Linked DNA regions of Drosophila melanogaster. The protein of the gene in region 1 interacts with the protein of each later gene in a pairwise test. Each region holds a gene or a part of one and is shown in the gene's direction. Other genes may lie near its edges.

Region 1 (10,736 bases):
GCTCTCTCTTTTGCTCTCTTTGTCTTTTTCGCTCTCTCACGAAGCTTTTTGGCTTTTGTTGTTTAGCGTTTCATAGTAGATTTTATTTTGTGATTGCCAGCCAACGAGTTTGGACGCATAAATTATCATCACTGCAACCCGTGGAATTTTTTCGCACAAATAGCAACAACAACAAAATGTCGTCCACAGCCGTTCAGCCACCGCCGCCCGTTCCCCCGCCGCCACCATCGGCCGTCCCTTCCGCCGGAAAGGGCATCCACTCCAAGCTGTACAACGGGATGATTGGCGCCGCCGACAAATTTGTGCCCGCCAAGCTGCGGCCACTGTGGATGCATCCAGCTGGTAAGCCTCACATAGACCACTATGCTACATAAAGAGCACATCTTTAGGTTCGGTTTGATTCCAGGTCCCAAGACGATATTCTTTTGGGCACCCGTCTTCAAATGGGTAAGTAGACAGAAAGCCAGACGGATGGGATTACATAACTCGGACAACGCACGACCTTCGCTGATTTTCATTATCGCACACATACTATAGTTCACCATAAATCCGAAACGACGGTAGACAAATCTGAGCGCAGGTGCCATTAAATGAAATTATTTGATTATTTCGAGCAACCTGCGCTTGATAACAACCGCATACGGTTGTGTTCGTGAGCGGATTGCCTTCTGTTGTGGAACCCTATGAAAAAAAGTTTCCCAAAAAAATCAAAAACTTTTGATTTATTTAGTTAGTTTGTTTGTTTCGATAGTAGGCATATAGATGCCTCATACTTATGTACATACATATATCAAGCCACAAATAAATAAAACAAAGAACAGCCAGTTGAGATCTCCCATAGCGGCACTAAAACATAGAAACTGAAGATGCCTAAGCATATCGCGTCCTTTAGTTAAAACAAAAATTAAATAAGCAATCGAATCCTTTATCTCCTTTGCCAGGGTCTCGTTGCCGCCGGCCTGAGTGACTTGGCCCGACCGGCCGACACCATCTCCGTGTCTGGATGCGCCGCCCTGGCTGCCACGGGCATCATCTGGTCGCGTTACTCGCTGGTGATCATACCCAAGAACTACAGCCTGTTCGCCGTGAATCTCTTCGTGGGCATCACGCAGGTGGTGCAGCTGGCACGGGCCTACCACTACCACCAGAGTCAGGAGAAGCTGAAGCAGGAGCAGCAGCAGCCGGCGGTGCAAAATTAGATACATATCGAATCGAATACCGGTGCTGTCCCCTTTATATAGACTTTAATCGAACTTTTATGTACATACAAATCCCACAACGCGCAACGTAAACGAAAGGATTAAGAGGAAGCTGTACTAGCAGATCGCGAAACTGCGTTTTACAACCTGTTAACCATTATTATTTATGGTTCACCGCCTTATCGACGTGATTCGTATTACTTAAGTTGTAACTGTGGAGGCTTTGCGTATAGTTAAATCGAAACGAGAATGATAAATCAATACATTTTAAGACTTTAGTCACTAGATAAACGTAGTTGTTCGTTTTATTAAAGTGGATGTGGCCCAACATGGTGGCCCAACAATGGGTTATATTCAGTAATATAAATGAACCAAACTGGCTAAAAGATATTTTCTTAAAAGTATTATTTTAAGTATGCCAAATTAGGAAAACATATCCAAAAGGCAAAGGTAATCAATATCTTATTCTTTGATTTAATACAATTATGTTTGACTGATTTAAATGAAATGAGCTGTTATTACAATAATTGCAAAAGAGTAGAAATCCTTAGATTGCAATAAAACCGGATTATCAAGAAGATAACTCATACGCCATGTGTGATGAATCTATTTGCACATTCGCTGTTCGATAACTGTGTTGAGTTTTACACAATTAGTCAACACAAATTAATTAAAAACCAATAAAAGGAGAATATAACTAAGAGCTTATATTAGTTTTGCGGCAAAAGCAAAGTGCAAAAAAAGGGGCTGGCGTCGTCGTATTCCAGTGGCTGATAGTGCTGGTGATAACAGGAGCGCTAAGCTAATAATACTAGAGAAACATAAACATATGTGCATGGACCCCGGACTTTTCGGAAAGCTCAGTTGTAGATGGACGCCTGGTTGGAGCTGTTGTGCCTCAGTTTGTTCAGGAGCACTACTTCCCAACTGGTTTATCGCAGTCCCAGGCGATTGTTATTCCAGCGCTTCCAATCAATCAGCCCATACTCAACAAATACTTGATTACAGGTAGGCCATATAGAATTCCTCTCAATTCGCAAACCTGACCAGCAGTTACTCTGTGCATCTGCTATTGGTTGGACGTTGGAAAATATAGGAAAAACAGTAGCGTTCCGGAATGTCTGCCACTCCTCCAACAACACCTGCGCCCACGGCTGCAGCTTCCGCCGGAAAGGGTCTTCACTCCAGGGCATATAATGGACTTATCAAGGCCTGCGACAAGTATGTGCCCCCCAAGATGCGACCCTTGTGGATGCACCCAGCAGGTGATCATAAATAGAAGCATTTTAAGCACAGAGAGGAACTAACATATCTTTCCTTCAGGACCCAAGACCATATTCTTTTGGGCTCCAATCGTTAAGTGGGTAAGTTTTTGCACTACTTGCATAACCATGAACCCTGCGTCCTTAGCCAATTCCCATTATCACCGTACTGATAAACAAACCTGTGGGCGAATATTGTGTTTTATTATTATTTGTTTAGTTCTCGGCAAACCTGTTCAAGCCCGCGATAAATATGTATATATGTACTTATATACCATTTTCCTCTCCACGCGCGAGATTCTGATAACTGAATGATTGTGCGGTTTGTGGGGCTCATGGAATATTTCATAATACTTTTACTGTTTTGACTGGGGGGAGCTTTGCCAACATGCTATTCAGATTTGCAGTCAATGGGGGGACTTACCCTGCACTATCGGCCAGATCTCCCTAATCTCCGCAACCATTCCGTTTATATTCCACCACAGAGCCTCGTTATCGCGGGTCTCAGTGATTTGACGCGTCCTGCGGACAAGATTTCGCCTAACGGATGTCTGGCTCTTGGGGCAACGAACCTCATCTGGACGCGCTACTCTCTGGTGATCATTCCCAAGAACTACAGCTTGTTCGCGGTTAATCTCTTCGTGAGTCTGACGCAGCTCTTCCAATTGGGTAGGTACTACAACTACCAGTGGGAGCAGTCGAGGCTGGAGAAAAATGGCGAGCAATGCCCGGCTATTGAAGCCAGTTTGTAGTAGTCCAATTTGTGCATTTCAATGGATTTAGTCTAAATAAAAACAAGTTTTAAGGCTTTAACGGTCAATACATTTAAAGTGGAAATTTTACAGTAAAAAAATGTTAAAAAAATAAGTACTATTTAAATAATTAAAAGTGAATTTTATAACTTTTTTTTAATGTTATTAATTGCAATTTAATTGCTTAAAACAAAATAGTTTATCAACATAAATTTAAAACCAAGCTAAATACACATCACTTTCAATTTAATCGATAAATGTAAATAAAAACCGCCGAACATTGTGCTGTTGGTCATTTCTTGTTTACTGCAATCAAATAAAAATACATAAATAAATAATAATATGGCCCTGGTGGACTATGGTGGCAGCAGCTCCTCCGCCTCCGAGGATGAGGACTGCACCGAAAACATTCAAACTCCCGCGTTGATCACCTTGAAAAGGTAACGTCCTTTACTGGAATACCCGTAGATTTCTACATTATAACCGCCAAAGACCGGCCCTACCCAAAGCAGCCACCCTGCTGGGCCCCAAGAAGCCCAAGCCCGAGGAGTTCGTCGAGGATGTGGTGGATGATCCCGCGGAACATGGCGGCCGCATGCGTAGTTTCAAGCATGAACGGGGAAACTGGGCCACTTACGTCTATGTGCCGGCAACAGCATGTGTTGACCAGCTGGAGGAGTTCCAAACGGAGGCCATTGCTCGTCTGGAGCCACACTTGGAACTGCAGCCGAACGAGTCGCTCCATCTGAGCCTGAGTCGAACAGTGGTGCTGCAGTACCATCAGATCGATGAATTCTCCCGATCCTTGCAAAGCGCCCTCAACAGCTCTGCGGGGTGAGATGTTTAACCAAGTTAAATCTAGTATCTCCCATCCTGATGACCAATCCTCTTTTAGATTCGCCGCCACTTTGCAGGGGCTGCGGATCTACACGAATGAGGAGCGAACCAGGACCTTCATTGCTGCGCCCCTGGACGCTGCATTTGTGGAGAAGATGACTGCCATTCTGCAGCCCATCGACCAAGTGATGCTCGACTACCGGCTGCAACAGTTCTATGATCCGGCCTCGTTCCACGTCAGCCTTCTTTGGTGCGTTGGCGACCAGGAGACACTGCTTAACGAAAAGCTCACGGAGTTAAAAGAGCTCCTTGATGATCAGGACAAACTCTGCCTGGCGGTCAATGAGGTGCACCTAAAGTGCGGCAACAAGGATTTTACCTACTCGTTGAAATAGGATATTGCCAGTCTTTAACTGAATCATAAATATTTATGCATGCTGATCTTTCAATTGGAATGTAGTGGAAAATATATATTGACTTTATTAGGTATCAAAAATGTAATCTGTTCCATATTAGCTCATATATATGAACATATAAATTGTAGTTTGCTAATAAAAGCAAGATTGTAAAGCAAGCCATAGCGTTGAATGAATGGTTACCATTAGCAATCCAAAGATGTTTCCTTACAAATTAGGCTTAAATATAAGAAGTCCAGTGATTACCTTTTAATTAAGACCCTTTTTCTTGTTACCATTTCCCTGCTTGGCCGCCTGCGCCTGCTCCTCCAGTAATCGCTCCTCCTCCAGCTCCAAAAACCGCTGACGACGGCGGCCGAGCGGGGTCTTCGACCACCAGGACTCGAAAGCTTCCTCCTCTTCGCGGTAGACGGGATCTCGTGAGCTGAAAGGCATGGAAACTAACAACTAACTAATTTCATAGCCAAATCTACTTACCACAGAACATTGATCAGTTCGGCATTGGTCAATGGTTGGGTGCGCAGCTGGAGTTTCCGCTTGCAGGTCATCACCTCCTTGAGGCACGCATCGATGGACCCAATGGTATAGCCATCTGATATTTTGGCCATGGCGCTGGTGTCCAGATTGGAAATGCCACCAGAGTAATCGCTGTCGGGGTGCAAACCAAATCAGTAGATTATTTTGCAAATGAATCCCCCACATTTACGCACTGTAACAATGTTTTCCAGGCATGTGACATGGCGCCGTAATCCGGTCGTGGAATATAGATGAACCGATTGTAGACGGATTGCAATAGCTTTTGATCCGCCTCCCAGGGCAGATTGGAAGTGCCAATGAAAACGACGCGATCCTCGGGCGCAATGTTCTTTATCAACTTGGGCAGATCCTTCTTCAGTCGCTTGGGATCTGTGCGATCCGTCTTTGGAATTTTCTTCATGAAGGGCCGCTCCGCATCGCCCATGAATATCACCGCAGGCTGGAGCAGTCGCGACACTTTCAGTACCAGATGGATTAGCATTATCAGTCCCGATTTGCCAGGATACTTGCCAACAATATTGGCAGGAGTCAGATCAAAGAGCACGGCACCCACCTCCGTGCAAATGGCGTGGAGCAGTGCCTTCTTCCCAGATCCTTTGGGGCCAGCTAACAGGATGGAACGTATCAGTGGAGTACAGTTATGTATGGCATCAGATCCCAGTGGAAGGATGCAGTACTCCGTGAGAATCTGGCGAATGTCGCCCGGTGAGGGATTAGTGCCAATCCTGGCAGTCAACGCCTTATCGCCCAGGAATTGCTTTAGCCTTAGCTCCGGGTATTTCCGGATTATGCCATTCGTGACCAGCTCCTCGTACAGCGACTCCGTAGTGCGATCCGGCGTTAGATCCTTCTCCTTCTTCTTTTTGCTCTTCTTGCCGGATCGCCGAGTTTTTTTGCTGCTCTTCTTCACCTTCTTGCCGACGGCCGTTTGGAGCAGCTCGATCTCCTGGCGCATCACATCGTCGACGGCGCGCCGAAATTCTAGCTCCACCTCCTGGTACTTGTCGCTGTAGATCATGTCCTCATAGGCCGCTTGGCTCAGCACACCGGTTTCATCCTTATCACGCCAGGTATCGTTAAACCTGAAGTTGTAAAAAGATTAAATTTGGATCAATTTATTATATATCTTTACTCACAGATCGATCTCCGCACGGATGTCTGGCAGGCAAACGGACGGTGCCGGCTGGAAGCTAACTTCCTCGTCTTGGTTTTCGTTGACGTTGAGGTCACCACTGCGAGCGGGTGACTTGGACTTATCCTTGGTCTTTCGCGACTCCTTGGAGGAGCGGGCCGACGAACGGCTGTGCTCGCTCTCAGTTCCAGGTCTGCTGAAAATATGCAATGAGCCGCCCTGATCCTCGGATGGAAAGTCCGGCAGCTTGCCAGTCTTGTCGTAGCAGTCCTTTACCCAAGCCCGAATCTCATCGGCAATGTCCTCCTTCATGCTGGCTCCGTGCTTGGCCCGAATCTCCTCCTTTAGTGCGTTCTGTCGCTCCTCAAACTCTTTGCCGTAAAACGCTTGCGCCTGGTAGCGCTTCTCGTTGTGTTGCAGCTTCTCCAGCTTCTCGGCTCGTTCCTTAACCACAGCCGGCGGTGGTGGCAGCATTCCGATTAGGATCATCTCCTCCATTTTGCGGCGCCGCGTTATCCGTCGGGCTGTGTGGCCACGCCACATCTTCTGAATCTTCATGGCAGCCAAAAGACCAGAGTCACTGCGCTCCTTTTCGGTGCGCTCCTCCGACTTGCCCTTCTCCTTTAGGATGCGAATCTCCTTCATGAAGTGGGCACGCAAGCGTCCTTGTCGCGCTCGCTCGTGCATTTGAAGCATCCTAATGGCTTCGATCTCGGTGGTAACCGTCTCCTCCAGCTCGTGCTCCTCAAGCCAACCCAGCTTCGTTAGGATCTCATGCATGGTCTTCTTTCGAAACTCTAGCTCCTGCTGACGCTCGCGCAGAAAGTAGCGTGGTATCCTCAGCTCCGTTTCCATGGGCGTCAGGCGCAGGCGTTCCACCACCTCGTCGTTGTAGCTAAATTCCATCAAGTCGATATTTACGAGATCGTGCTTCAGCTCCACCACTCGACCCAGACAGGCGTCTAGTAATTTACGCACCAACTGGCGCTTCTGAGGCTGAATCATCTATGATGAAAGATGAGAAGTAAACCAGAGTCAAAGGATATATCATCTCCTTATATATATCCCACTTTTGTTTAAGAAAGTCGTATACCCACATTATCATAGACATCCTCCAAACGATTGCTCAGACATATGTAGCGCAGATAGAACTCGTACAGACTGGACTGCAGCAAGGCCTTGGCATCCGCATCGGCGGCGACGGATCCGACCGCTGCATTCATGGTGGCCACCGTCGTCTCCACATCCTGGTGCTGCCTCTCATAGTCAATCGTGGATAGAAGCTCGCATTCATGCTGGGATTGGTGCCAGATATCATTGAAATATGTGCTGGACATGATGGTCAATGATACTCCTCCAATGAAAAATCAGATTCTTGTTTGAGCCAAACGAAACGTTGCCTGGGAGTTGCCAAGGAACTTTTTGCCGAAACGGGGTGGAATTATTGCAAGGACAACGAGAGTTTAGTAATTTTGTACACACATAGTTGTATATAATACATTTTGTCCAAGGCGTTGCCTGGTGTTACCCTCGAGAATAACAATAAATATGTTTACATGGTTACGCTTAAAAGGTTAAATAGTCCAATGGATTTGAATTGGTACAATGCATGGAATACCTTAATACATAATGCACATTCATATTTAGTTAATAAATAGTTAACAATATAATTGGGGCTATCTAGTCAAAATAGACTTTAAATGTTATCCGTGGAACAGTACTTGATCATGGATTTGGTGTGCTTAAACTGAATGCCACTAGTGGCGGCCACGACCTCTTGGATAAAACTCTGCGAGTTATGGATGGTGGTGCCGCCAAGAATGACTTTATAGCCGGCGTTGTTTAACTGGTGCACCGCTAAGGCTTCCTCGTACGTGGCACCGCCAATAATGAACACGACAACCTCCTGCGGTGGTCGTCGAAATGGCACAAGCTCTGAATTGATGGCCGGGAAGAGGGGATCCAGCTCGCGGCCCTTAAACACGTCCTCCAAAGTTTCCTTCAGGAGAGGAGTGTGCTGTGTGAAGACATTTTCCACACCCTTAAGGCCCTTAATCAAATTCCGTGTCAGCTTTACGGCGTCCGTTATCCGCACCATATTGAAGAGATCTCCTTGTCGTACATGGGTTCCAGCATACTCAATCAACGATGGCACTATAGCCGCTCGTCCACCGCGCGTTTTGATTATTTGCAGCAGTCCAGATGTGTCGCAGTTGGCGTGTCGCTCGTATCGCAATGCATAAAGTGCCACCAACTTAAGAGCATCATCGATGGAAACCCGTTCGTCGGCAATTAGTTTTTTGATTCTCTGCAGCTGGGCCGAGTGCTCCGCCTTGCAAGCGATCTCCTGTTCAAGTTCGGAAACCTCGAAGAGATTCCTCTTGTTGCTCAGCGCCGACAGTTCTCCAATCACACACAAATGCTTTTGCACAGTGCCAGACATTTTTTTAAACTGCGGATATGACTCAATAAAGTTCTTCATGTCTGCTATGCTCTCCACTTTCTTGTGGTCGTTCGCCTTGCGCTGGAACTCCTCCATCAGTTGTTTGATGGTAGATCCGATTTCGCCGTAGTTGGCGTACATGTTGTTGCCATAGAAGTCATCCTGATCACCGGATAAGACCAGCTCCTTGAAGTCTTTCGGCACATTGGGGCAATTGGACAGGTCCAATCGATTGTTTTTTATGTGCAGCAACTCATGCACCATGGCCTGGTATGTCCACTGATGCAAAAGCGGCGTCACAGGATCGTCCCTGCGGTCCAGCACAAGCAGCAGCGGTGGCGCAGCGCCATCCATGTTGGAGCGAAAGTCGAATAGCGAGGACTCTTTTGTGATTTGCTCGTATATGAGCTTGGCCAGAAGCTGCGCTGCCTGAGAACCGGCTCGGTACCGGATCACTGGGTTCAGCTTAAGGGACAACAGCACGGCTGTGATGCCCTGCATGCTGCGGTTGAGAGCGTCCGGCAGCCAATTAAGATTCGCCATGCAATTGGGAATGCCTAATGAGAACAGATTGGGGTTGACGCACAGGTAGTCTGCATACAGTTCCTTCACTTCTCGCACCGATTCGGATTCGTCGCACTCTGCCAAGTATTTAATGTCCGTCCGGGGAATGATGTTGCTGAAATCTATTTATGAGTTTAGTACTATTCCGAAGGTGCTTCTACTGACCCACTTACAAATGTAGTAGGCGCTGTATTTGGGGTTCCGCAACTCGTTGGCCAGTAGCTGGATGTTCTGCTTGGTGGGGCGTATAAAGACGATGCATTTTAGATACTTTAACCGCTCGTTGGATCTTCCCGAGTCCAGGCGCTCAAATAGGTACACCTCCCGTTGCAGCATGTCCGATTGGCTAAAGGCCATCGAAATTATACTGGTCTGCGAATGATGTGAATTTTTGATCATATGGCAGGGGATTTGATTGTCAGTCCTTGCACTTACCGTCTCCTTGTCCAGCAGAATGATTTTCATGCCCGGTCCCGACTCGGAGCACATTTTCTCGATGTACAACTTAATGCCGCTTATCAGATTCATGACTGCTAACTAATTTACTGCGAAAATCAGAAATTAATGTTTTTTTTCGCAAACAGATGGGTTGGAGATGCCCCAATTGCGATAGCTCCGTGATAACAGCGGTGACCAAACATTTGGGTAACATTCGCTAGATCTAGCTAATGTAAAATAATGTGAATATGTAAAAATGCATATAGATAAAAACTTACAATTTTTTGGTAGTATAATAAAAATAGCAATAAAGATAAACATAAATAGCAATTAAGCTCAAACATAATTCCGTATCTTTTCATTAGCCAAAATAAACTTCGAGTAGCAACATCCCTGGCCGGCAATCGATAAAGCGCCGATATGCTCGAGCGATATATCGAGTGCCCAGTAGTTATCAGTCTGAAGCACTCGCAGCAGTCGGCCAGAAATTCTGGCATATATTTTTGGATTCAAATTCGGATGGCTGATATGCAGGTGGACTGTTGAAAACCGGCTAAATACAAGAGTACGAGCAAAGCATAGACTAGGACACAATGGAGATGCAACTGGGAGCCATGCTGTATGTGTACAAGGGGGAGTACGGACTGCCGTCCATAGATTTTGAATGTTTACGTGCTCTGGTAAGTTCCGTTGCATCACACGGCGGCCAGCACGCCTGTTTTGCCCATTATCGCAGATGATGAAAGAAACTGATGAAAGCGCCTCTTTGCCGGAAACAGTGCCTCCTGCGATTCACCCGCTGCCCCATGGACGTGCAGACCAGCTCCAATCCGCTGCGTTCGGGAGCCGGGAAGCTGCCGTATCTGCAGATCGGCAACCAGAAGTTCGCGGGCTATAGGCAAATTAAGCGCGTGCTGGATCTCGAGGTGAGTGAGCAAAACAATGCCGGGGTGAACAAACTGCAGGCTCTATTTATAGATATGTGTTTTTTTATGGGCTTAATTCGACGTATTCTTTCAGGGTTACCCGATAGATGCGCATTTAAGCACTAAACAAAAGCATTTGTCCACCGCCTACGCCAACTGGGTGTTCACCAATCTGCATGCCTACTACCACTACTTCCTGTTTGGAGAGCCTCACAATTTTGACACAACCA
Region 2 (10,868 bases), on another chromosome or scaffold:
CCTCATGGTTGCGATTAATTGGAGTCTCCACGCCGATCCGAACGCCTGGGCCGCTGTCAAATGAATGTCCCCCGAAGAAATGGACGCGATGAAATCGAAAGCATTTTCACTTTTCCAAGCCAACTTGGCAGGATGGCCCACACAGGCCACTTATGAATTTCCAGTTTAGCTATACTTTTTTTTTCTCATTTTAGTTTTGCTCTTTGGGTATGTGGTTCAATGGCAAACAGCAATACTCCAAGTGCAACTGCGACTGCCACAACTGGTTGCACATTTCCCATGCGTGCAGTCCGTTAGAAACTTGTCCTTAAAGCTCGACCACATGCCTATGAACATGGTCATTGGCAGCGGCCATATATCATTGCTATACCATATCTCCATGGCTCTCCGATCGCGATCGCATTGGGTTTCGTTCCATTGTCTCTGCGGTTGTGCGATTACAAAGCGCTTATGCTCGGAAAGCACTCGCTCCGATTGAGCGCACAATTAACCAATTGGTGAACTCTTCCGCCTTCTGACCAATTTGCATATGGCCAAAAAACAACGGCTATAAAGATTATCAAAGGCGGTAGTCTATGTGGATGTAAATATGGGCTAGCCAGAACTATAAACTATAACCAGAATCAAAGGCAACCAAGCGGGGCGGTCTAATCAGAGGGCCTGACATATCCCCAGCACATCCCCATCTAGAACCCAGAACAATGGCCAATAACTGTACTTGGAAGTGGCCAGTAGCGTCGCCACGCTAATTATGGCTCATTATAATGGCCAAGATTCAAGAGCCAAGATCCTAGGCGGAAATTGTCATAAAGTTCTGTGGTCTCCTCCAGCCGACGGGTAATTGCCTTTAATTGCATACCTGGCCAAAAATTGCTGCTAAGACACTGACCTAGACTCGCTCTGGATCGAACTTGTAATAAGCTCCGGCTAACGGAAAACTCAAAATGGAAAATTGATTCCCCAGCGATGAAGTTCAATGTTCAGAGTTTTGCGATTTGTAAGCTAAAGAGAGCGGGGCGGGGGGATGGTGCATTGTCAACAGGAAGAGAGCTCCAGGTTGCAACTTCGGGGAACAAGAACAACGTGAGCTAATTGACAGACAGCTACACAGGCACGATTTTCCATTTTCCGCTGGCCATTTCCCGCGGGTTTTAAGCCCCTTCCCCCACCCTCCTAAAGTGGCGAACAAGGAGCCATAAAATAGGAGAAACACAGCAGCAGCTGCAACAACACTTGCGTGTCCATCATTAGAACGAATTCTCTCACCTGAGCCCCGCGCCCACTTTCCGCCTTTTCTTGTAACGCAATTTGCACACAAATGCTGCTGTTTCATCTTCGTGGCTTTGGCTCTTTTTGGTGGGTGGTCAGGTGAGACAAGCAGCACCACTAGCTCCACTAGCACCACCATATGACGCCGCACGAACCGCTCGCTGAGCCGCCTGAGAATCGTATTTAAATACGAAGGTCTAACGCTGGATCGCATCAGTCGTCGCCGTCGCGTTGTTCTAGCCGCTAGCTCCTCTCGAAGATCGCAAACCAAGTCGGAGTTTAAGACGGGTTCCAAGATCGGATTGGCAGACGATCGAATCGAATCGGATTTGTTGGGGGAATATAAGTTTATGTGGTGACTGTGCACCTGGAACAGGATGCCCGTTTGATACTTGTTTCATCTCTCGATTGGATTAAAACGAATGCGATTTGAATGATGTGGCATCTGCATCGGCACGCGAATTCCCTTTTGCTTCTCTGCGCAGTTTTAGGATACTTTTCGGATCCTGCGAGAGCCGAAATCGAGTACAATACCATCAGCGAGGATGGATCTTTTCAGTTTCGGTACATAGATGTGTGACAAACTATAGTGAACATTTTTAAAGGATATTAAGCACTGAAAAAAAAATTGGCATTATGGATTAAATGGATATGCATTTAATTGCAAATGCAACACCCTGTGACTCAAGAAATTTGATGAATAGTTTTTGTTACAATTGCAAAATTTTGAATTTAGTAAAATTTTCAATTTACCTAAAAATGCTTTAAAAGGCAGGATATTTTGACAGAAATTAGTAATTTCCTTCGTAATACGATTATCATAATACCTACATCGACTAAGATTTTTAATAGGATTTTAAAACTTCACAATAAAATTAATTCAGATAACATTGAAATTAATATTTTTCAATTTTCAACTCATTGCATTAGTCATCACAATAAAAAAACTTAACCAAATAACATAATTTACATTAAATAGAATAGAACTTTCATTGTCGTCCAATTTCCTTTTAAAAAAAGGATTAAAAGTAGTTAGTCGCTGAAAATAAGAAATAACCTTCCCCAATTGCGTACAAACTTAGCTGTTTGGTAGAATAATAAACCTTTTGAAAAGAGAACAACTCAATTACAGTTTTTTAGCAGCCATGGGTCATAAATCTAACAAATCATCTAATCGGTCAATGATGTCTGCTACCTTACCATCACCATTACACCCGAGAAAATTTGAGATTTTTAGCACCTCTTTAACGCCTCAACGTTTTGCAACCACAACAATAACACGCTTCCGACCATCTTTCCCTCTCCATTTCGCACGCATGGGGCAACGCAATTACTTCTGTTTCGATGGATCCCACCTGGCATGGATAATGGATATGCTGCTGCTGGTACTGCTACTGCTACTGCTTCCAATCGGCCAAAAGACATGCAAATGATGACATTGGCGGCTACTATCACAGCGCCTCGGGCACTCCGGACAACACGGTGCGAGGTCGCTACGGTTCGCGGAGTCCGGCGAGCGGGCAGATCGAGGAGACGGTCTACACAGCCGGACCACGTGGGTGAGTAATCGAAGACGGTAGCCAAGACTAGTGGGTAAAGTGCGCTGGTGCACTGCAAGAAAATAGTATCATTTTAGAGTGCATATGTGTGGAGAAAAATGCATTTAAAATTGATGATGTCAAAATATGCGTAAAAGAAAAACATAATTTTTAAAATATATGTATTTCAAATGTTTTTAAAAATAATTAGGCAACGATAAGTTCTGTGGGTATACATGACTCGAAGGTAACTTCCTTGAGGAAGGTCGGCGGTTTTTTCCTGAGTGTATTGGCCGCTGAGGAAGTGGCAGCACAAAGTGAGTTATCTCCCCTCGATGTCAGAGTTGAGCTCATATATCAGCGGTTGGCGGCAGGCGGCGGCCACTGAAGCGAAACCCAAACAAACGGAGGGGGATCCATGGAGTTGGAGCCGTTCTAACACATTGGACTGCTTTTTCTGGCGTTGCCTAAACGTTTTTCCATTACCGCTTCGGCGCTACTGTTGTTTTTTGCAATCTCCGGTAAATCGGGGGAAACAAAAAGCTGTTAACAAATTGACTGGCCTGAGAGATTCGAGCCAAAAAAAAAAGAGGAATGGATTGTAGATGGCAGATGCTCAACGATAGCGATGATTCTGAATGGGATCGTTCCCCGAGATGTGTAGTAATCGAAGTAATGGCGTGCCGGGCTAAGATCGAATCTATATTCAAAATTGCAGTGCAAGTCCGCTTCCGCTGAAAGGGTTTACCCAATCCCCACTCATTGTGTCGGTAGCTAATTAATCTCCCTCTATTTCCCACATAGATTTCGCGTGAACGGACCGAAAATCCATCGGAAAATGGACCTGGCTCAGTATCCGGTACTGCCGCGGGGAAGTCCGGACGATCCGCTGGCCGATCCCTTCGACGATCCATCCTACAGCTTTAGTTTTCGCACTCCGGATCAGTCGCGCAGCGAGGAGAATGATTCCGGGAATAGGATAAGAGGCGAGTTTAGCGAGTATGGTACTTAAGAGTATATTAACTGATTCTATCCCAGGTCTGTACTCCTATTTGGACGACGTGGGCGAGCGGCACAGTGTTCGTTATGCAGCTGGAGCCGGAACCGGATTCGAGATCTCCAACGCTGTGCCGGACAGCCCATCTGTTGTGGCGTACTCCAGTCCTCTGTACACGTCCCATCCCAAAGCACGCGGCAAGATGTCTGTGCAAAGGGGGCCGGCTGGAAGCTATAAGCTGATCGCCTCAGGTTCGGATCACCGACGGGCAGAAAGTCGAGCACCCGATGGCCTGGTGCGAGGAACCTACTCCTTCCTGGACGACAAGGGCGTGCAGCGGACAGTGGAGTATATAGCTGGAGCAGGAATTGGCTACCGGGTGGTGCAAAATCGGATTGGTCCTGGAACCCATAACAATCCCTCTGTGGCTGATTTTCGTTTGACAGATCCAGATTTCCGACTGGCTAATGATTTTGGCAGGGGTGCTGGTGGTGGCTTAGGTCCGAAGGGAGGTGGTGGTGGATCAGGTGGGGGAAGTGTTTCGGTAGGAGCTTCGGGGCCAAGTGGTGGTGCAGGTGGAGCGGGAAGGGGCCGTACTCCAAGCAGACCCGGAGGCAAAGATTACCTAAAGCCGGCTGATGGAGCAAGAGATAGGAATCGTGGAGATGGTGATGCTGGGGCAGCTGATGAAAATCTGGGACACCATGCTGATGACCAAGGGGATGACATTGGGCTTGGCAGCAGCTCCTCTGGTTCCACCAACTTTAATGGCAAAGAAGACAGAAGAGGGTTCCCTGCGGGTAGTCCGCAACGGGGCAGTACTAGATACGATGCCGGAGGTGACAGCTCTCAGAGAGGTGGTTCAGGTAGCTCCACGAGAAACAATGTTAGTGGGTCCCGAAACAGAAACCGATTCGGCGGCGTTGGTGGAGTAAGTGTCTCCTCTGAGCGGGGAGCAGGAAGGGGAGGTGCTGCCGGTGGTGGAAGCAGTCGTCGAGGAGGTGGAGCTGGAGCCTCCAGGGAAGGCGACTCCGGCCTGGGCTACCTGCCGCCCACAGGTGGATCGGGCACCAGTGCCATGAGCGGACCCGGGGACAATTACCACCTCAACGATGACGATGTGGGCAGTTCACTGCCTCCTCTGGTCACCGCCAACCACCGAATTCTAGAGATCGACAGGGATCGGGAGTGGGTGCAGCGACACCGCGACTCCACCGTCATCAAGAACGTGGGTAAATGGTACGTGGGCCTGCCGCCTGGTCAAAGTGTGCGTGCCCATGTCCAGAACATCGACATAATACCCTTGGGCGGAAGGATCGGACTTTCGCCGTCGGAGGCACTGCGTCAGGATGAGATCGCCGAGCTGAATGCCTCAAGGGAGCACTAAGCACCCATTGGATCTGTAGATCTGTAGTTTGTAGTGCGTAGCTCTAAGTGATCAGTGTTGAGTAACCGAAACTGGGTTGACTCCACATGGAAACTAAAACAGTATTTAAAGCGGAATACATTTTTTGCCTGTATCTGTATCTCAAACTGTATCTGTATCTCTAGCGAATAGTTATTTGATATCCGTGGATCCGGGTATAAGCAGGTTAATCTGCACATTGCGGTTTCCTTGAATCCACATATAACCCCATGACTTAGCATGCTCGGAGTTTAGTTGTTTCTGAGACTTGAACATGATGTTGGTGCTTTTCATTGCTTCGCTGATAGTTTCCTGTGCTCAAGGAGCGCAAGTGTATATGCAGTTCAATGGACAAGGATACTCCTACAACACGGATGGCGATAGATTGGATAGGAGTGTCGTTAAGCCTAGTTTTGGGGCATCTTCTCTGGATTCCTTTGGTCCGCTGAACTTTGTGCATCAATCTCTGAGGACAAGACAGAATCCACTTTCCCGGATTTCCTACAATACACAGGATAACCTAGCAGTGGCAACATCTTCGCTGAGTGCGGGCTACCAATTAGCATCGACCAACCACCTGAAGCACCGGCAAAGCCAGCAAAACTTTGATTTCAGCACCGACCAGATGTCGCATGCCCAGCACACCGATGAGGCGGGAAATGTTTTGGGCAAGTACTCCTACTACGATGAGGCTGGCTACCATGAGCTGAGCTACAAGGCGGGCGCCGGCATCGGATTCGTGGTCATGGGTGGCAATTTGGCCAAGGCCACCACCGCCGCTGAACCGCACTCGGAAATCGAAATCGGAAACGGAATCCAAACAAATGCCTTGACTAGCCTGCAAGAGTTGCATAAATATCGTGGCTACACGTAAATAAAATATATTAGCCAAAACTATTGCTCGTTCTACTTGGGTGTTTTGCGTTATTTACTGGAAGTCTTTGGAGATCTGACAGTGTCACCTGTCGTGTTTGAGACCTACGTGATCGGGGATCTGAACTGTAAACATATGTCAAAGAATGAATGACTTGTAAAACAGAGTTCATTCAAAGAAAAGAGTGCAGCTTTGCTTGGTTATAGAATGCAAGCAATAGTCAAATATTATCGAGAGCTCTGGATTTCATAACTTCTACGCGGCACAAAATTATCTTTGGATCGGAAGACATTATATTAACATTTATAAATAATGGTGAAATTAAAAAAAAAATGTACGTAAAAATAGATGTCCAAAAATGTATGAATTCTTTTTGTAATTGTAAATCTTGGAATATAATATTATGCTAAATAGGACGGTAGAAAGAATATTTTTCTTCATTTTAAAAAGAAACATAACTTGAGTTCCATAAAAGCGGTCATCGCATTAATAGAAAATTTTCTTGCCTGGACATAATTTTTAAACGTTTTACAATAAAAATGTTTGCATAAAGTAGATAAGGGTAAACATTGTCAGTTTCTGATCGTAAATGATTGTAAGAGCTTTAATTGCTTGTGGCGCGTGCTTTGGCACGATACAACTGCGGCGATTTATGCATGTTATAAACCCTAATTGATTTTCCGATCATAAAAATGGTTATATTCGGTCGCACAAAGTCATTTTACAAATGGACAGTGCATCCCAAAGCCAAATTGAGTCAGCTCTGTGGCTTATTTATTTTTGTTTGGGCAATTTCATGTCGGAAAGGGACCAAAATAATACAGCATTTGAAATGTTCGACGCGTGCGCGCACTTGCCAAATAATTTGAATCGAACGGAAAGCCTTGGCGTCCACGGCGTGGCCTAAATAAAATATATTTCTGGCCGCGCGAAGCCAAGAAAAGCCCATAAGCAATAATAATATGCATATTTGCTAAAACAAAAAGTTATTACATGGGCCAGTTTTGACCGAAAGTTTCACTGCCACAATTAAGTTTTAATGTCAAGAGATCTAAGCGAGTGATTTCCCTGAAACAAGTTCCTACGCACTCGAAAACTTTCTTCGCCGAATGCACTAAAAGAACGTACAGAAGAGCACTAAAAAGCTTGCCATAGCTTGACATAGATTCTATTCGGCCGGGTCTAGGGTTTGTATGGCTGAAATGGCCACGTTCTCAGCGTAGAAATCAATGGCTCACCTGGGAAGTAGCCGAGGTGCATAATTGGGTTAGCGTAGCAGCAGAACGGCCTGCATTGAAACCACAAATTACTGGGGCTCCGGCTCTCCCAGGTGCCAGTTAGCTGTTTCTGTTTATTTTCCCCCTCATAAACAACGGTTTGGGCTGGGATTCTCCTCCTCGCCGAAGGTCAGACTTAATTGGCCCGGGCCTAGGCAACGACATCCCACTAGCAGTCCCGTTTCGCCTGCATTTATAAATAGGCCCCAAGGTCTCTGGGTCTTGGGTCTTCGGTCTTCGGTCTTCGGTCTTCAACTTCTCGACTCGCTCTTCGGCTGCTTGGATTTCAGTTGGGGTTCGATTTATCGCCTTTTGATTGCTGCATTCCAATTGTGGATCAAGTGGTGCGTGTGGCGCATTCGGGGCTTACAACGTGTTGCTGCTAATTTCGTATGCTCCCTTCGGCTCTGCGCACTCGAAACCATAAATCTTGTGGCAATTTTATTGATGCCTGCGTGTGCCACAAAGGTCGACCCCCCGTTCGATGCTGCTTAATCAAGGAATATGCATTATTTCACAGCGCAGTCAGTAGCTGGCTGCTCGGGGCATAAAAGCCAATAAAAGAATAAATTGCAGTTGTATCACAGCAAAGTTAATCACAAAATTAATGGTTCTGGGCTAATAAAGACTGGTCTGCAATGAAAACAAATGACTTAAGGCACGAACCTGAAATCAATTTCTCTGATTTCAGACATTTGTTATTCATGATTATCGATCAAAAACGGTCCGAAGCTAAGTCTTAATCCTGACATCTGTTGATACCCGAGAAGTGTGTGAAGTCTTCACGCCGAAGTGCTTGTCAAATCAAAAAAAAAAAAAAAGAACATGACTCTTGAGTCACTATGTGCGAAACTTTCTAACGAGTTCCAGGCAAACATTTTAATTGAATTGCCCGGCAACGAATCGATTCTTTCATCACGGTAAGTCTCTTACCATTTTGGCTTATGTCATGTTCTGGGCCCGTTCCGAGCTGATTACCTTTCCACTTCCCACACGCATTTCGCTTCTATTCTCGTGGCTCACTCCACTTGTAATGGCCAGTCACTTCGCTCCTGTCCAGTCACACTCAATCAAGCCAATAAACGGCCAATTAATCAAAGTCAGCGCTGTGATTCTGTGTTCTTGCTAGGTGCGAGTTTGCGAAACAGTAGACTGAAGAAGCGACTGTCAGCACATTTAATCAAATGCTTGAGAAATATCTGACAATATGTTAGGCAAACTATTTGCCTAACCCAAGGGATCGGGGAAGATTTCGATCTGCGAAATCCTAGAGTTGTAAGCCTGCATATCAATTGGTGTTGTGTACCCTGGAGCTGGTAACCAAATCCCACAGATCCACGCCCCCAGATAAAAGCCAGGCCAAGGCGCTCGACTACGTGCCCGAATCGCGGTCTTCTCTTCGACTCTCTCTTCTGCCCAAAACCCAGTTCTCTTACACCTGATCGGGCCCTGTTTTCTTGGCCATTTCTTTCGCTTCGTCGTTTGCATCGCTAATGGAAATGTTATAAACAGACGCGCTGGGCCCGGCCAGCACTCAGTTCATCTTCAGACGTCGCCTGGCTCGCTGGCTCTTGGTTCTTGGTAGGAGTTCCATTTCCAGACCCTATTTATTGTGCGTGACAAAAAAAAAGAAAGAAAAACAACGGAACCTGAAACAATCGTAAATTGAAAGCTCAGCAGGATTGGTTTTATAGTGCTTTTAGTGTGTGTGATTTTGCCGCGTGATAACCCAGAGTGCCACTCATTCCCGTTCTCGTTTGCAGTTCAAGGATATATTGTCAAGGCGAGGATTGGTCAACGCCACGAACACCAAGCATTTATTGAAAAATCTGAAACTATTCACCAGAACCTCGCGTTAAAATGCGCTTTCTTGTTGTAAGTCAAATCGCATAAAAAAGAAAATTAAATACCATGAATGACTTAACTTCACATTTTGGGAATACAAAACGAAACTAGTTTATACCTGACCGCAATTAATCATTTATTGCTCTGTGCTGCCGCTGAACTCATTAACTCGTCAACTGGCCCAAGTTCGTGCCTTAAGTCTTTTGTTTCTTTCACTTCTGAATCGACACTAACTTTCACTAAGCGACTTTTTTGATTCTTGGCTTGGTTCTTTCCTTTTTTTGATCGCCTTAATTAGCCTTAATTATGCTCTGTGCCATATGCAAATATTAATAAGAGTGCCTAAAATCTTTTTGGGGTTTATAATAATCACAAATCAATTTGGACGCAAAGAACTATATTGGGGAAACTTTTTTTTATATGAATGCAAAAGGTTAAGACTTCTTTGTGCCAGTTATTGTTCACTTAGTAAAGGTTTTTCAAAAGAGTTAATTCTTTCTGAAAAGTGAAACCCTTTTGTCCATTCCATTTGAACGTGACAATATTCTAGCCCCACCCCAATTTAAAAAGTGAGAATTAATCATTCATACCTAGGAAGTATTGTTCCTTGCATTATTCATATTCCCATTATGAAAAGCATGCCCTTAAAAGTCAAAACTCTACAGCGACTCCCATAAGCAACAATGCCATTCAATTATAACCACAACCAATACAACCACTTGGGTTGAAAAGCCCAAAAAATAATTATGACTCAAAGAACATAAAATTAATATGCCGCAAACGTATAAAAATCATGCGTGGGCTAACAAATGGTAATATAAGTCTTCTTTTCCCCCTCCCAACTATCAAACAATCGGTCACATTTGTGTGGGGTTCTTAACTATAAGTGCACTGGTTTGTTTTCGAGTTTGTGATCGTTTCGATAGTGGTTCATAAATTAATCAATTTATGAGTGTAGACAGTTAGCCACACGTCCCAAGTCCATCAATCCCTGCTCAATTAGCTGCATTGGAATGGCTCTGGAATATCATTTAAGACCAAAAGACACCTGATCGGATGTGAAGATCAGGAGACAGACTCATTTATAACTTGTTTGAGAACATAAAATGCTGCGCTTAAACTTTGCATTCGAGCCATTAACCCAGTTTATTTTTGGACAAGACACACCTGATATGGGGTCGAATCGGCATCGTTATGTGAGGGCAATATAATAAATAAGGCGAAATACACAAAAGAAAGCAGACAGAAATACATCTTACTGCTTGGGGATGCAAGAGTTCTTGCAAATCAATGGCAACCAGGTTCGACAGCCTCTGCGCCAGAATCTCTTCTCTCGAGTTACGTTTCGGCACCGAAATCGTAACAGCCGCCTAGAGGTTCAGGTCAATGACACAACACGAGCCTCGACTTCGAATCCAGCTTTGGTTTTGGCTTTTGGTCTCAGTTCCTCTCGGCTTTGTGACATTTCGGCGCTGATAGATAGGCGTGCGGGCTGGTCGTTTCCACCGGCTAACGGTTGCGTCAATATTGACTTTGCCAAAGATGTGGAGAGCCGGCGAGAGTGAGTCAAATATTTGCCGATCGTGAGGTTCTTGACAATCGTATTCGAGGGAAAATCCGTCAAGTACATAAGCCGTTCCTTGCCACCTGGCTCTCACTTTTC

Evidence for each region.
Region 2: the proteins of CG9396 (region 1) and CG13022 interact in a two-hybrid assay, tested with the Drosophila melanogaster proteins (one large-scale study listed by BioGRID).

The regions. Positions count from the first base shown.
Region 1 is NT_033777.3:9,562,960-9,573,695, reverse strand, and holds CG9396 (uncharacterized protein), read left to right. Parts: upstream 1-2,072; 5' UTR 2,073-2,207; intron 2,208-2,295; 5' UTR 2,296-2,316; coding exon 2,317-2,464; intron 2,465-2,522; coding exon 2,523-2,563; intron 2,564-2,946; coding exon 2,947-3,213; 3' UTR 3,214-3,282; downstream 3,283-10,736. Other genes in the region: CG9399 (uncharacterized protein), read left to right, coding at 177-342, 407-447, 942-1,199; CG16790 (uncharacterized protein), read left to right, coding at 3,556-3,653, 3,706-4,047, 4,109-4,445; CG16789 (uncharacterized protein), read right to left, coding at 4,716-4,890, 4,944-5,114, 5,177-6,085, 6,140-7,140, 7,233-7,472; Vps45 (vacuolar protein sorting 45), read right to left, coding at 7,832-9,264, 9,316-9,514, 9,578-9,670; CG9393 (uncharacterized protein), read left to right, coding at 10,174-10,260, 10,360-10,506, 10,601-10,736.
Region 2 is NT_037436.4:16,933,561-16,944,428, reverse strand, and holds CG13022 (uncharacterized protein), read left to right. Parts: upstream 1-5,476; 5' UTR 5,477-5,486; coding exon 5,487-6,083; 3' UTR 6,084-6,099; downstream 6,100-10,868. Other genes in the region: Obp73a (Odorant-binding protein 73a), read right to left, coding at 1-6; Cpr73D (cuticular protein 73D), read left to right, coding at 1,706-1,833, 2,691-2,828, 3,612-3,793, 3,846-5,191; CG11905 (uncharacterized protein), read left to right, coding at 9,221-9,235.